2 linked regions of the Xenopus tropicalis genome follow. The protein of the gene in region 1 purifies or fractionates together with the protein of each later gene. This does not show direct contact. Links are inferred from orthologs where the notes say so. Each region holds a gene or a part of one and is shown on either strand. Other genes may lie near its edges.

Evidence for each region.
Region 2: the proteins of asb1 (region 1) and cul5 purify together in Homo sapiens (affinity purification with mass spectrometry; 6 studies listed by BioGRID and IntAct, counting the BioPlex papers as one, with this or other methods). This does not show direct contact. The link is inferred for Xenopus tropicalis from reciprocal best matches to the Homo sapiens genes ASB1 and CUL5.

What each region holds. Positions count from the first base shown.
Region 1 is NC_030685.2:60,745,329-60,751,940, forward strand, and holds part of asb1 (ankyrin repeat and SOCS box protein 1), read left to right. Parts: intron 1-1,213; coding exon 1,214-1,355; intron 1,356-3,356; coding exon 3,357-3,659; intron 3,660-4,375; coding exon 4,376-4,797; intron 4,798-5,832; coding exon 5,833-5,966; 3' UTR 5,967-6,612. UniProt on the Homo sapiens protein: Probable substrate-recognition component of a SCF-like ECS (Elongin-Cullin-SOCS-box protein) E3 ligase complex which mediates the ubiquitination and subsequent proteasomal degradation of target proteins.
Region 2 is NC_030678.2:159,946,614-159,953,930, reverse strand, and holds part of cul5 (cullin-5), read left to right. Parts: intron 1-781; coding exon 782-846; intron 847-1,170; coding exon 1,171-1,303; intron 1,304-1,908; coding exon 1,909-2,040; intron 2,041-2,238; coding exon 2,239-2,362; intron 2,363-3,240; coding exon 3,241-3,416; intron 3,417-3,963; coding exon 3,964-4,125; intron 4,126-4,383; coding exon 4,384-4,502; intron 4,503-5,316; coding exon 5,317-5,440; intron 5,441-7,317. UniProt on the Homo sapiens protein: Core component of multiple cullin-5-RING E3 ubiquitin-protein ligase complexes (ECS complexes, also named CRL5 complexes), which mediate the ubiquitination and subsequent proteasomal degradation of target proteins.

The sequences.
Region 1 (6,612 bases):
CTGTGTAAGGTGCCAGTTTTTTGTTTTTTTTTTTAATTTCCTTTTGAAAAATGAATGCATTTTCTTTCCCTTCATGTTTCACCCAGTATCACCCCAATAAACCAGACTGAAGTCCCCAGAGACAGTCTTTAAAATAGGCCCTGGCATTTCCAGTACAGAGGCCCAAACAGTCCCCACAGGCCCAATAAAGAGTGACTGTCTATGGCATCTTAGAGCAGCCCCTCTGGCATTTGCCCAAATCTGCTGATTGCTAGTCTGGCCCTTCCCGAAGTTTTACCAAAATGTCCTTACCAGAGTAACTGTTGGATTTAGATCATACAGCTCTTTGTCTCTGCCCTTCTGTGCATGTCCCAGAGAAAGGGAGATGGCACTATCTTGAACAGTACCCTAGGCTGCTGGGAATGGTTCCTTAGAAAATATAGCCCTGCCCAATCCCACTCAGCAAATGCCATTTCCTGAAATCTCCTCCCCCTATTTAGGGAATAGTTGGACTGCAACTCCACAAGAACAGTTAGTGGCAATGTAGTAAAAGGAATACTCTCAAAACTCATCAGGAGAATTTTGCACAGAAATGCATTTTATTACAGTATAAACAGATTTTTTGATATGTAATTTTTAAATTTCACATGGTGCTAGCCATATTCTTAATTTCCTAGGGTGCCACAGCCATGTGACCTGTGTTCTGATAAACTTCAGTTACACTTTACTGCTGCAAGCTTAAGTGATATCACCCCCCCCCCCCCAAAAAAAAAAAAACGAACAGGTTTCCCTACCTAGTGTAGACATGAGAATAGCATCCAATCAGGAGAAACCCTATTTGCTATTATGTGACTTGGATCATACGGACAGTACATTGAGTAAGAGAAACAATAGGTTACCTGAAAGCAGTTCTAATGTATAGCGCTGGCTCCTTCTGACAGCTCAGATTCAGGCACAACGCACTGAGGTGGCTGCATAAACACCAGTATTACAACTAAAAAATATACATTTGTTGGTTCAAGAATAAAATTTTAAATGGCAGAGTGAATTATTTGCGATGTAAACAGTGTAATTTAGAAATAAAAAACCATAAAAATCGTGTCAGAATTCCTTTAACATTTATAATTAAAAACCTCCAAATATATGTTTTGTTTTTTTTTAGTGATCACTGTATTTTCACTAATGAGTGTCAGTCGTATACTCAGATTATATGTTAATATTTTGCTGTGTGCAGGGCGGAGCCTGAAGGCATGGTTGCAGGACAAGTACTGTGATCACCCATTGGAGCAATGCCAGGATACACGTTTGCACAATGCAGCCTGTGTGGGGGATATTGACACGCTAAGGAGCCTTCTGCAAGATGAGAGGTTTCTAAGGTAAACACCATGAAAGGAGCAGCAGTGCTTGAATCTGTGTGCATGAAAACAACAAGAAAAGCTGCCTGTTTTCTAACCAATACATAACTGGCTTTTTTATTTTCTGCCTCTCACCAGAAGGGCAGAGGGGTGCTTGTTGTCCTCCCAGTGTCACACTGTAATGCTGTAAATCTATTTAAAGAAAATTGAAATGTAGCCTTAAAAATGGAACATGAAAACAGAAAAGTTATTTATTCTTCATCAAAGGGTGAATGTACAGGCTTACAGGTCAAGTTTGGGCTGAAAAATTAGCCACCACTTCCGGTCAGGCCCAGAGTGGCAATCTGTGGATTCTGGCAAATGTCAGACGGGCTGCTGTCGCTATTTATTGGGCTTTATTGGGTTTGGGTCCCAGTGTACTTAAAATACCAGGGACTGTTTTGAATCCCAGTCCAGGCCTGCTTCGAGCTTGGGTATGGAGCAGCTAGAGGCACAGCTGGCATACGGCCCCTTTCCTTATTGCCTACTCTAAGGCAGGCATTGAGGACAGGGCTGGAGTGCGCCACCTGATGCTGCTTTTTGCATGGAGTGCTGGATTTTTGATCAGACTCCATGCAAAGAGAAGCAAGCCCAGCAAGTACTGCTAAATGAATGCCAGGGGGCACATACTTGCATCCCCCAGGGTCGCAAATAAGCCCCATTATGTTACCCCATTTGACTTGTAATGAACATGCACTGGAAATACTACACAAAATGCTGGTAGAGAGTCACTGAATATCTGGTGTCTCATTTACCTGCCCACATTATACACGTTTTGTTTTCTGAGTGTAATGAAATGTCAGACATGTACATGAGTGTAGCTCTGTTATTATAGAAGACACACCATGCAGCAGAACCTTAGCTTTTACCATAATTTTAGCCTAAAAGAGAACAAAACCCATTTATGCATAGCCCTCCCTCCCTCCTCCTGAATCGCAGCACCATCATGCCTCAGTATGGCCTAACTCATGACAACAGGCGGAGTAGCCCAGGGCAGTTGCCAGCCAGCATCACTGGCTACTTGAATTCCTTTCCCAGGCCTGCTGGTGACCAGAAACATGAGCAGCTGAGCCTGATTTAGTCCAGAATTCAACTTTATGTGCATGCTCCTGGTTGGCGATTGCTGCCAAAAGGCCTGAGAGTGGAAGTCAAGCATATAGAGAGAATGGCCACTGATGCTGTTGGACTGCTCTTACCATGAGGTACAGTGGAGCAGGCAATATTGGGGCATTTCAATGGTTCAGGAAGAAGGCTTCTATGGCAAAGTGTGTAAAGGGGTTTTGTTCTCCTTTAATAAATATTCTGTTTTAACTATTCCCTTTCAATGTATAGCATGTAAACCTAAAGTAGTATATTTCAAGGGTCTTTAAAGGGCAAATGTATTCTGTTTATAAGCAGGAATTCTCTGATTCTCTAGCTATACAGCAAGCATATAAATATACAAATATGAGATCATAGTATATTGAGCTTTTTTTGTAAGCCTAGTGGTAGCTTCTTCATTATTAGCAGGGGAAGGTAACTTGATAACAGTAATATGAACACTGAAGCTATGTGATTCCACCATTCAGAGTACTGCCTTCAGAATAATGGCTTCAGTTCTAAGTTGGGGAGCTGCATAACAAAAGCTGCATAACAGAGAAATCAGTGGTATAGGAGCTGCTCTGTCCTGTATCTCACTAATAGCTGAATCTTCTGTTCCTCTTATAATTCCTATACATAAATAGGGCACTAACCCACAGGCTTTATAGGTTCTAAAAAGATTTCAGTCATTCTTTTGGCTTTCTGTCTATAGATGGGAACATAATCATTGGGCAGAATTTCTGGACTCAGCATCAATAACAGCCCACAAGGAAGACTAAAATGAACACTTGTGTTGCCATTCAGTTAATGCATGCAAATCAGTAGCAGGACAAATGCACTTTAAAAGGCTCATGGGTGTATACCTTTATGCATTCGTGTTTTTTATGTTTTTGTTAAACCTAGGGGTATAGATGAGCGAGCTGTGTGGTGTAGCGGTTGGCTACCCTGTTCTCCATTGCGCATTGCAGCCACGGCCGGACATGCTGATTGTGTGGAGCTCCTCATCCGCTCTGGGGCACAGCTGGAGCTGGTAGATGTGAAGGGACAGACCCCTCTCTATGTGGCTGCAGAAAATGGACACCTGGAATGTGTAAAAGTTCTGCTAAGGGCTGGGGCAGACCCAAATGGCAGTCCTCACAATAGAAGCTCCCCCATATACCATGCTGCACGCGTGGGCCGGGCCGACATACTGCAAGAGTTGATCAAGTGAGAGCTCAGTAACTTTATTTTTCATGATATTTGTATGGGTGTGCTCAACTAAATCTTAATCCAATTATAGAACACATGGCTGCATAGACACCACTCTTAACAGTGCTCTCCAAAGGGGTCATTCCCTACATGCAAGACAGGGTGCATAGTCTAAAAGACAGACAGAGACCATGTTTTACACTTTTCTCTGTGCTCTGCAGGTAGCAGAATTGCCACAGGTCACCTCTTTGGCAGGGTAGATTTTTTTGTTGGGTCATTGACGGCACTGGCTCGTTAATGCAGTCCACAAACCAATGGTGCCTATGCACGCCATTTTAACTCAGTTGTTTGGCCCTGGGGTCAAATAATCAAACTAGCCTTGATAGCACCCACCCTTAGGTGGGCATATCTGGAGGAGATCCCCTTGCTTGACGACTTCGCCAACGAGTGGATCTTACAGTGTATGGCCACCTTAAGCTAGTATCCCTGTCTTATTTTCCCTTGGCCACACAGCGTCTGTATGCCCCAAATACATTATTGCATTATACATTATAAAACTTTAAAAGCATTAAAACATGAAATAATAGTAATAATTAAAGAACACTAAACAGTACTGATTTTTTTAAAGAATATTTGGCTGTTCCATATAGTCAGCTAATTACTTATGACACTAATGTTTTCTGATATACACAAATATGTACACATAGTATTAAGATGCATATTAATGCCAACAGAGTTTATGGAGGACTCGTGACCTTCTCACCTGTTTGCAGGTATGGTGCTGATGTCGATGTGGATCACCAGCTGTCTTTTCGTGGTTCTGACTCTTCCCCTCGATTGCTGACTTCTCTGGCCTCCTGCCCACTCTATATTAGTGCAGCGTATCACAATCTAGCCTGCTTCCACCTGTTACTCCAGGCTGGTGCCAACCCTGACTATAACTATTGGGGAAAGGTGTCAGAGGAGAACTTTCCACGAGGGGCACCTTGTTGCTTACTAGAGGCAGTTCTGCGGCATGGATGTGATCAGCAATTTGTGCAACTTCTTATTGACTTTGGGGCAAATCTGAAACTTGTGCGGGGGGAGCCATGTGCAGAGGAACATCCAAGGATAAGTGTGAACACCGCTGCGCTTGAGCTTTTTAAAGAAGCAAAAGGTAAGGTTGGCCTCCTGTGTGTAAATCTAGGTTGAGGTTTGAGTGAAATGGAGGAATTGCCATGAATTATTAATGCTGTTTATAAACAGTGCTGCAGAAAACCATTCAGGCGGCCAAACAAACAAAAAACTGCAGGTCAAAGAAATTAACCGAAATATTAGATTGTTTAAAAATGGATAATATAATGAGTAAATACATATATCCTGAAATATTCATTTCCTTTACTTTGCGTGCCAGAATTTCTCTACATATGCCTGCTGCTGCTGTAGGACAATGCTATTTAAGAGTTGGTGATGAATTGTCCCTATAAAGGAAGCCCCCACCACTGTCAGGGCTAATAACTAGTAACCACACCCTCAAGAGATACTGCTGAATGAGCCAAGTTAAATTAAAATTTCGGAAGAAACAGATTTAATCATTTACTTAATTCCTATCTGGCAGCATCATTTGCCCTTCTCCTGGAAAAACTTGTTTGGCACCACCCAGTGATTGTAACTTTCCTTTTTTTTTTTTTTAAAGGAGGCTATATACGCACAGATAGTAGGAAATTAACTTTTATCTTTATGTATCTGTGTGTCTATGCTGGCACATGGATCCCCACTGATATGTATGTACTTAGGATACTGGTTCAGGGTATATCAGCAAATGAGGATGTAAAGAGGAGCTGATCTTCACTTACTGCTTTTCCAACCATTTGTTCTCTATACACAAATGACTGGAACAGTAGAAAGGTGGCATGTGTGGCCACTAATAACTCTGTCTGTTCTGCCCATGGATTAATTTGGAGAGTGGACCAGGTTGGCCTGTGTATTACCACTTTGGGATTTTGAAAATCTCTTTCCCACACATGGCTTGTTACTGTAGCATTTGCCAGGTGGTTGTCATCCGAAAATACTGTTTCACTGTACCAACATGCCAAGTGATTTTTTTTTAATATCTGCTGCCTATCTCCTACAGTTACCCAACCTTTTTCACCAGCATCAGATTGACATTTCTGCCTTTTTATTATATCAAATGTGCCTCTTCCTTCCTTAGGTTATCCGCGCGCTCTTGCCAGCCTGTGTCGTATCATAGTTAGGAGAGCACTTGGAAAACAGAGATTGTCTTCTGCCTGCAAACTCCCCGTTCCACCACGAGTGCTGTCCTTCCTCCTCCATGAACTGCCTTAACTTCCCTCACTGTATTACAGTCAGGTTGCACAAAGTGCAGCTAGATACCAAAGGGACAGAAAGAGGAGTCTTCCACAATCATCTGAACCTGCATTTCATGTTTCCTTGTTGCGACTGTGAATTATGTATTTCAACTGACAAACCTGAGATCCATACATGAATGTCTATAATGCTCATGTCATAGGACAAGGTAAGCGGGACTGGGTGTCCCTGCCATGCCAGAGCTCCTAAATGGACACTCACTCAAACAGATCTTTGTTGGAGGAGTAATGTTGCTTATCCAGTTATATAATGTAGAAAGCAGAACTGGACTGGCAATCTGGGGATTCTGGTAAATGCCAGAGGGGCTACTGTAAGATGCCATAGACAGTCACTATTTGGCCCTCTGTACTTGAAATGTCAGGGCCTATTTAGTGTCCCAGTCCAGACCCGGTAGAAAGGGTCGATCAGAGCTTGTTTACATTAATTTCCTAAACATGGGAATTTGCAGGGGGAGTCACATTATGGCTTTTTGTACTGTTTTATTCTAGTATTTTGTTCGCCATGGGTAGAACGGAGATTGGTGCACAGAGGCCCAGAAACTCTGGCTAATTTAGATCTAAATATGTCTTGTTTTCTTGTTCATTTTCTCTGGAATTGGGACCCC
Region 2 (7,317 bases), on another chromosome or scaffold:
ATTACATTTTATTGTTGTTTTACGTAAATGTTGAGTATGTTGGCCCAACATATATAAAGGTAAAATAAATCCACTTTCTAAAGCTATTCCATTACTTTTGAAGGCATTGCTGGGCACAGAAAATAATTTCTATGGAAATTAGAATTTGTAAACAGAATTGAGAGCAACAGTGGTTGTGTGGCCAAGCTTCCAATAGAGTAGCACCATGGTCCTATTACTGACATACCAAGTATTCATTGGCTGGACTGTATAAAAATGATGTTGTACTGAACCGTCTATTTCATGGAGGGGGAGAGTAAAGAGAGATACAATTAAAACATAACTTTTATAGATGCATACATGTAGATATATGTGCAAACAATTTAACGTCTGTTTTTGTGGCAATTTGATTTACAGGTTAATGACGTTTAATTGAAATAAATATGTGATACTGTTTCTGCATTTTGTATGATAATAGGTGCTCAGTGGACCCATTCTAGCTCGTTAATCTCAGTTGTGCCCTATAATAGGTATATAGGTTCTTTGGGATGAGATTTATATTATGGACAAAGAGAGAAAGAGGGTGTCACCGAGATAAGGTCAAATCTGAAAGAAAAATTGTTGCATCTTTAGAGAAGCTGTTAATATATGTACTGCACAAATATACATACAAAATAAAACCTGGTGTAATCATTGCATTGGACTTCAGAGATCTGTGCCAGTGTGCCAATTCAATAAATATTACATTTCTGCCAAGCATTAAGTGTCCAGTTTAAATTTTCCCTGTTTCCCTTTATTTCAGGCATACAAAGCTGTTGTAAATGATGCAACAATATTTAAACTTGAATTGCCACTAAAGCAGAAAGGGTAAGTCACATGTGTCTTTAATTGTTATTCTCTTTGATTTATATATTTCTCAGGCTAAATGATTTTGTGTTATACTTATTTATAAGGAACAAATTAAGAATAGCTGGGAGAGGCGAGGGCTGTCGTGATAGATCCTCAGACAAGGGTAGAGATAAGGGCAGGGGTTAGAAATAAATTGATGTACAGGTAAGGTTCCATAGTACCTCTTCCCATTATGACAATATAATGTATATTATTTTGGTAGGAGCATCCTGGATCTATAAATCCAAAATGTGGTGTTAGTAACAATCATTATTCTTATTATGGGATTCTTTCTCATTTAAGGGTGGGTCTGAAAACACAGCCGGAGTCCAAGTGCCCAGAGTTGCTCGCTAACTATTGTGATATGTTGTTACGGAAAACGCCACTCAGTAAGAAACTGACTTCTGAGGAAATCGAGGCAAAGTTGAAGGAAGTGGTATGTACAGAACACATTTTGTGTCCTTCTTACACTATGATTTGGGCTTTGTTGCATTCAAAGGTAAATGGTAACCTTAACGTTATTCAGCATTTGGCATCTGATGAGCAGTACACCAGCTTCCTTCACCTACCGGGCTCTGTAGGACTAAGTAGGCTGTATAGAGACTGAATATGAAACAGCAGAAACTCAACTTACCTTTTAGGCAAACCAATTAATTCACTAAGGCCCCCAGACAACAGCAAGCTAGTGGCACAGATGCTCATAGCCGCAAAAACTCTATAAGAAAATGACGTGTCACCCTTCCCAACTCAGGCTTGTTATGAAGGAGAGAGATCTTTCTCTGATATGTGTAAGAGGGGCTGAAACCAATCATTATACAGCAGGTTAAGAGATGGTGTTGGTTACAACTGTGCTATACTGCAGAAAACCATAGAAGAGCTACACCCTTGATGTAACACCAATAGACCGATAGAATTGAATGACAATGGGTTAAACTCAATTTACATGTTCTTTTCTGATTTCCTACCTGTAAACATATTTGGAATAAATTAATTACTGGAATAAAAAAAAATATAACGGACTGTATTTGTTTTCCCCTGCAGCTGTTGGTGCTAAAATATGTGCAGAACAAGGATGTGTTCATGAGGTACCACAAGGCTCACCTGACACGCCGCCTCATTTTAGATATCTCCGCCGACAGTGAAATAGAAGAAAACATGGTGGAGTGGCTCAGGGTAACTATCACTTGAGCTGTTCAAACTGACATTAGACAGTGCCCAAACAGTGGGCACTGTAAATGGAGCAAGTTTAGGGAAACCCATAGTAGACTGATTGCAGGTAGCTAGTCGCTGGTAAAGTAAATATCTGTAGGGCAAGAATCTTTCACTGTGTAACATACTACATTTCTTTGTTCTGTTGTGTATATCTTTTAGGAGGTGGGCATGCCAGCTGATTATGTAAATAAACTAGCCAGAATGTTCCAGGACATCAAAGTATCAGAAGACTTAAACCAGGCTTTCAAAGAAATGCATAAAAATAATAAATTAGCCCTGCCAGGTAAGTTTGGAATTGGGTTTAAAACAATTGTTATTATTTCCTGGTATTTATATTGTGCTGACACTTTTCTGCAGTGCTTTACAGAGATTATACCATTCATATAAGGCCATGCCCCTAGGACACTAGGATCAGTTTTATCAGGAGCCAAAAGACCTGCCTGTTCTTTTTTTTTTTTTTTTTTTTGTGGGTGTGGGAGGAAACCAGAACTAGGGGTAGGCAGAAGGGGCACGTGCCTAGGTCACAGCTGAGAGGGGGAGCTAGAACCCTAGGCATATACCTCTGCTGCCTCCACTACCTTCAGCCCTGGGGGTCAGGTATGCTGAGTGAGGAGCTGTGCCATTGACTGAATGGTGGAGCAGAGATCAGTGGCAGCACCAGAAAATAGGTGAGAATGTTAAGAAAAAGAGACTTGCTGAGTAAGGGAGAGAGAGTTGCGACATGGAAGGGGGGTGGGTCGATAAATGAGATTTTCCCTTGGGTATCCTGGTGTGGTGGCCCTTCTATAAATGGAGGAAACCCATGGGGAGAATATGGTGCCCAAGCCGGAATCAAAATAAGGCCCCCACCCCAGTAAGGCCGAAGTGCTACTCGCTGAGCCCACCCTCATTATAAATATGACCATTGTTTATTTTTTGCCCTTACTTCCACTTCCATAATCAGGACCAAAAACACCTCATTTTCAGGCTGGTAAGCACTTGTATTGGGGGTTTTTTGTTAAATTGACAGTGTGTGGCACTTTTCACATGTCTAGTCCTTACTAGGACTAAAAGTTCTTTATACGGGGTATTTATCTGGATAGAGTAAATTAATTAACTATCTTCTTCTTCAACAGTGCATTTTATTTACCTGCTTTTTTTTTTTTTTTTAATTATGGCCAGCTGACTCTGTGAATATTAAAATTTTGAATGCCGGTGCTTGGTCACGGAGCTCGGAAAAGGTATTTGTGTCCCTTCCCACTGAGCTCGAGGACCTCATTCCTGAAGTAGAGGAGTTTTACAAGAAAAACCACAGCGGCAGAAAGCTTCACTGGCACCATCTTATGTCCAATGGCATTGTGAGTATCTGCTCTGCACGGCATATTAGTGAATTGAGTTGCTAAGGGCTTTCCATGTATAAAGCACTTAAAAAAAGAAAAAAAACACAGAAATTCCTAGTAAATCACTGTAATCGGTTCCTTTAAAAATTATGAATAAATTCAATTTTTTATGTTCAAATCCAGCTGCAAAAAAGTTCTTTCTTTCTGCATCATTTGAAATCCTGGCAGGGGAGGAGGGGCTAAAACATTGACGTTACAAATGGTAACAACTTCTCCACAGCTTGCAGGAACTACATAACCCACAATGCATTGCACTGTGATTTTCCTTTCCTTATTGACATCACATGTGCAGGGAATTGTGGGATTGGGAGGAAGCAGGCTAAAGGCAGCCTGAGGACAGGCAACTACTGTTACATTTTATTTGAGTCTCAAAGTAGTCAGCCAGATCATTAGGGTGTAATTTGTTATTGCAAAGTTTTTGGTGCTTTTTCAGAATCTCTCTCTCTCTTTGTATAATGGACCAGTCCTGTAATGTTGAACTGGATGGCACGCCACTGTTTTACAGATAACATTTAAGAATGAGGTTGGCCAGTACGACTTGGAAGTTACCACTTTCCAGCTGGCAGTTCTGTTTGCTTGGAACCAAAGGCCGAGAGAAAAAATCAGCTTTGAAAATCTTAAACTGGCAACAGAGTTACCTGATGCTGAGCTTAGGAGAACTCTGTGGGTAAGTGTAAATGTGTTAGTATCGGTGTGTGTCATTGGCTAAACTGAACCTGCATGGCTGTGAGTTGTTGCATGGTAAGCCAGCCAAATCATTGCCATGTACGTGTTCTATGTGGGATCCAAGTGTTTGGTTCTTAATCACCTGGGGGCCTGTTCAGTAAATTGCAGACTGTATAGGGGCAGAGGCACTCCAAGGCTGACTAGATTTTGGGTTGCCCTTGGCATAACTGCTTACAATTGTTTCATTTTCTCTGTTTAGTCTCTTGTAGCATTTCCAAAGCTGAAACGCCAAGTATTATCCTATGAACCGACGGTAAATTCCCCAAAAGACTTCACAGAGGGTACCCTCTTCTCTGTAAATCAGGAGTTCAGCCTAATGTAAGTCATGTTTACATGTTTAATGCTGCTTGGTATCTTGTTTAATAGCTGCTTCACTAAACACTGCTGAATGTCTGTGCACCTTGGGTGGATCTATAAGCATTCTACTTGCACTGCTCCGGCTTTCATTTACAGGGCAACTTTACCTTTATTTTGTCTAATGCAGATATCCATAGGTACATTATAAACTGTTTCCCCTAGCTTCTGTGTCAATCTGCCAGGTTCAGCTCTGTAAAAGCTTCTCTTGTTCTTAAGGTGGCCATACACATAAAGATCTGCTCGCCTGGCAAGGTCGCCAAGCGAGTGGCTCTTCTCCCGATATCCCCACCTACGGATGGGCAACATCGGGGAATTTAGGCTAATTTGGTTGTTTGGCCCTGGGGCCAAGCGATCGAATTATAATGACTGGAATAGGCGAGCCGATGCGGTCCCCAATCAGACTGAATTTTTTAAGCTGCAGAATCAGTCCAAGGGACCAATATTGCCAGCTTCAATAGGCAGGTTGGCCATAACCTTATCTCCTGCCTAGCCCTCCCTAAATGTGATCAAACCCTTACAAGCAGAAACTCTTGAGTGGTGACTTTGTGGCTCCATGGCCTTATGTTACCTTTGGCTTTGTCAGTCATTTGTGGCCTATAATGGGAATGTCCAGGAAAGTGGTGGTAAAACGTGCTTTTGCACTAGCACAATAATTGGAATCCCCCACTCTTCCCTTTACCCACAATCTGGCACAGTTAGACAGGAAGGTGCTCCCAATGAATCACTAAGTGCTACTGTTTTATCACTTCATCATGACTGTGTGTTCTAATCCTAGAAAAAATGGAAAGGTTCAGAAACGGGGTAAGATCAACTTAATCGGCCGCTTGCAGCTGACCACGGAAAGGATGCGAGAAGAAGAGAATGAAGGCATTGTGCAGCTAAGGATATTAAGGACACAGGTACAGTATGTCCTGGCTATTAGATGGGAGTCACAAAGGGAGCCATGTCCAACACTGACATTTAGGGCAGAGGTGCTGGCACGTTTTGCTCCCTGTGCTATTTACTAGCTCATAGGAAGGGGGGAGTAAAGCAGAAAAAAATACCCCACCATAGACTTTTATGATAGTTGGACTGATTCTGCCAGTATGGCATCTTTAATGTTCAGCTGTTGTGAGTACACAGTTGTATAGTTAGTACAGCTAGAGTTAAAAGGAAGTCACTGGACTTAGCCCCCTGTGGTTAACACATGAAAGTGTTAAAGAAACTAACAATAGGGCTCTAGAAGAATTTTGGGAGTTAAACCCTGGAACTGCCCCTACTGATGTAGTGTGGGAGGCTGGGAAAGCCACCCTTAGGGGTGCCCTCACCTCCGCAATTAAAGGGGTCAGGAAAAAGGCAAAAGAGGAACTAGAGGAGAGACAAAATAACCTAACGGAAGCAGAGAAACAATACATTATCCATACAGGCCCAGACACCCTACGTACTTTTAGGGCGGCACAAACCGCATTAGAAGAGACCAGAATTAAACTAACACAGAAAAAGCTGCTTTATGCTACGCAGAGAACGTTTGATCAAGGGGAAAAAAATGGCAAAATCCTTGCATATCTCTCCAAAGCCCAAGCCCCTTCGAACACCATCACTAAGATCACATCCATGAATGGGGACATAATTACTGAGGTATCCCACATAACCAATATCTTTGCACAATACTACAAACAGCTTTACACCACTGAAGCCAACTATACCCCACTGCAGCTATCAAACTACATGGATACCATCCCCATCCCCCGATTATCCCTACTACTTAGGGCCCAACTCAACAGTCCCATCACACTAGTGGAGGTAGAGGAGGCAATAACCTCGCTTCAACTCAATAAAACACCAGGCCCAGATGGATTCCCTGCTGACTGGTATAAGACATCTGCAGAACTTATCTCCCCCTGGCTCCACAAAACTTTGCTTGACGCAACAGAAAATAATAAACTACCTCGCTCCTTTAACACGGCCCTTATTGTGGTCATCCCCAAAGATGGTAAGGACCCATTGGAGTGCGGCTCTTACAGACCTATCTCCCTCCTCAATGTAGATGCAAAAATCTTTGCAAAAATCCTCTCTAACAGACTGAAACTAGTAGTTGAGGAACTAATTGAGCCTGACCAAACAGGCTTTATGCCAAACAGATCCACCAATATAAACATCCGTAGGCTGTTCACTAATATCCATGCCGACCACACCAACAAAGGTTCCCGTGTAGTAGTCTCACTTGACGCAGCCAAAGCCTTCGACTCCGTCGAATGGCCCTATCTCCTGAAACTCCTTGAGAGGTTTGGCCTGGGTGAGCAGTTTGTTAAATGGGTGGGAATGCTATATGAAGCACCAACAGCAAAGGTTATGGTAAATAGACACCTATCCCCAGAGTTCTCTCTAGCTAGAGGTACCCGGCAAGGTTGCCCACTGTCACCTCTCCTATTTGCCCTAGCAATAGAGCCCCTTGCCATTCTGATCCGACACTCTGCAGCCATAACAGGTCTCAAACTGGGGGCTGTGGAGGAACGCATATCTTTATATGCTGATGATGTTTTACTGTATTTGGACTCCCCTGGTGCCTCACTACAGACAGTCCTAGGCATAGTCCAAAACTTTGGGGACTTCTCCGGCCTGCGAATCAATTGGGAAAAATCCAGCGTATTCCCCATAGACTCAAATATTGATCCAAATATCTTCCCTCCTACTCCCTTGCAGTGGGTTGACACATTTAAATACCTGGGTATCCAAATAAGAAAAGAGCTGAGCGACTTCATCCCCAACAACTTAGACCCCATTCTTAAAGCCATGA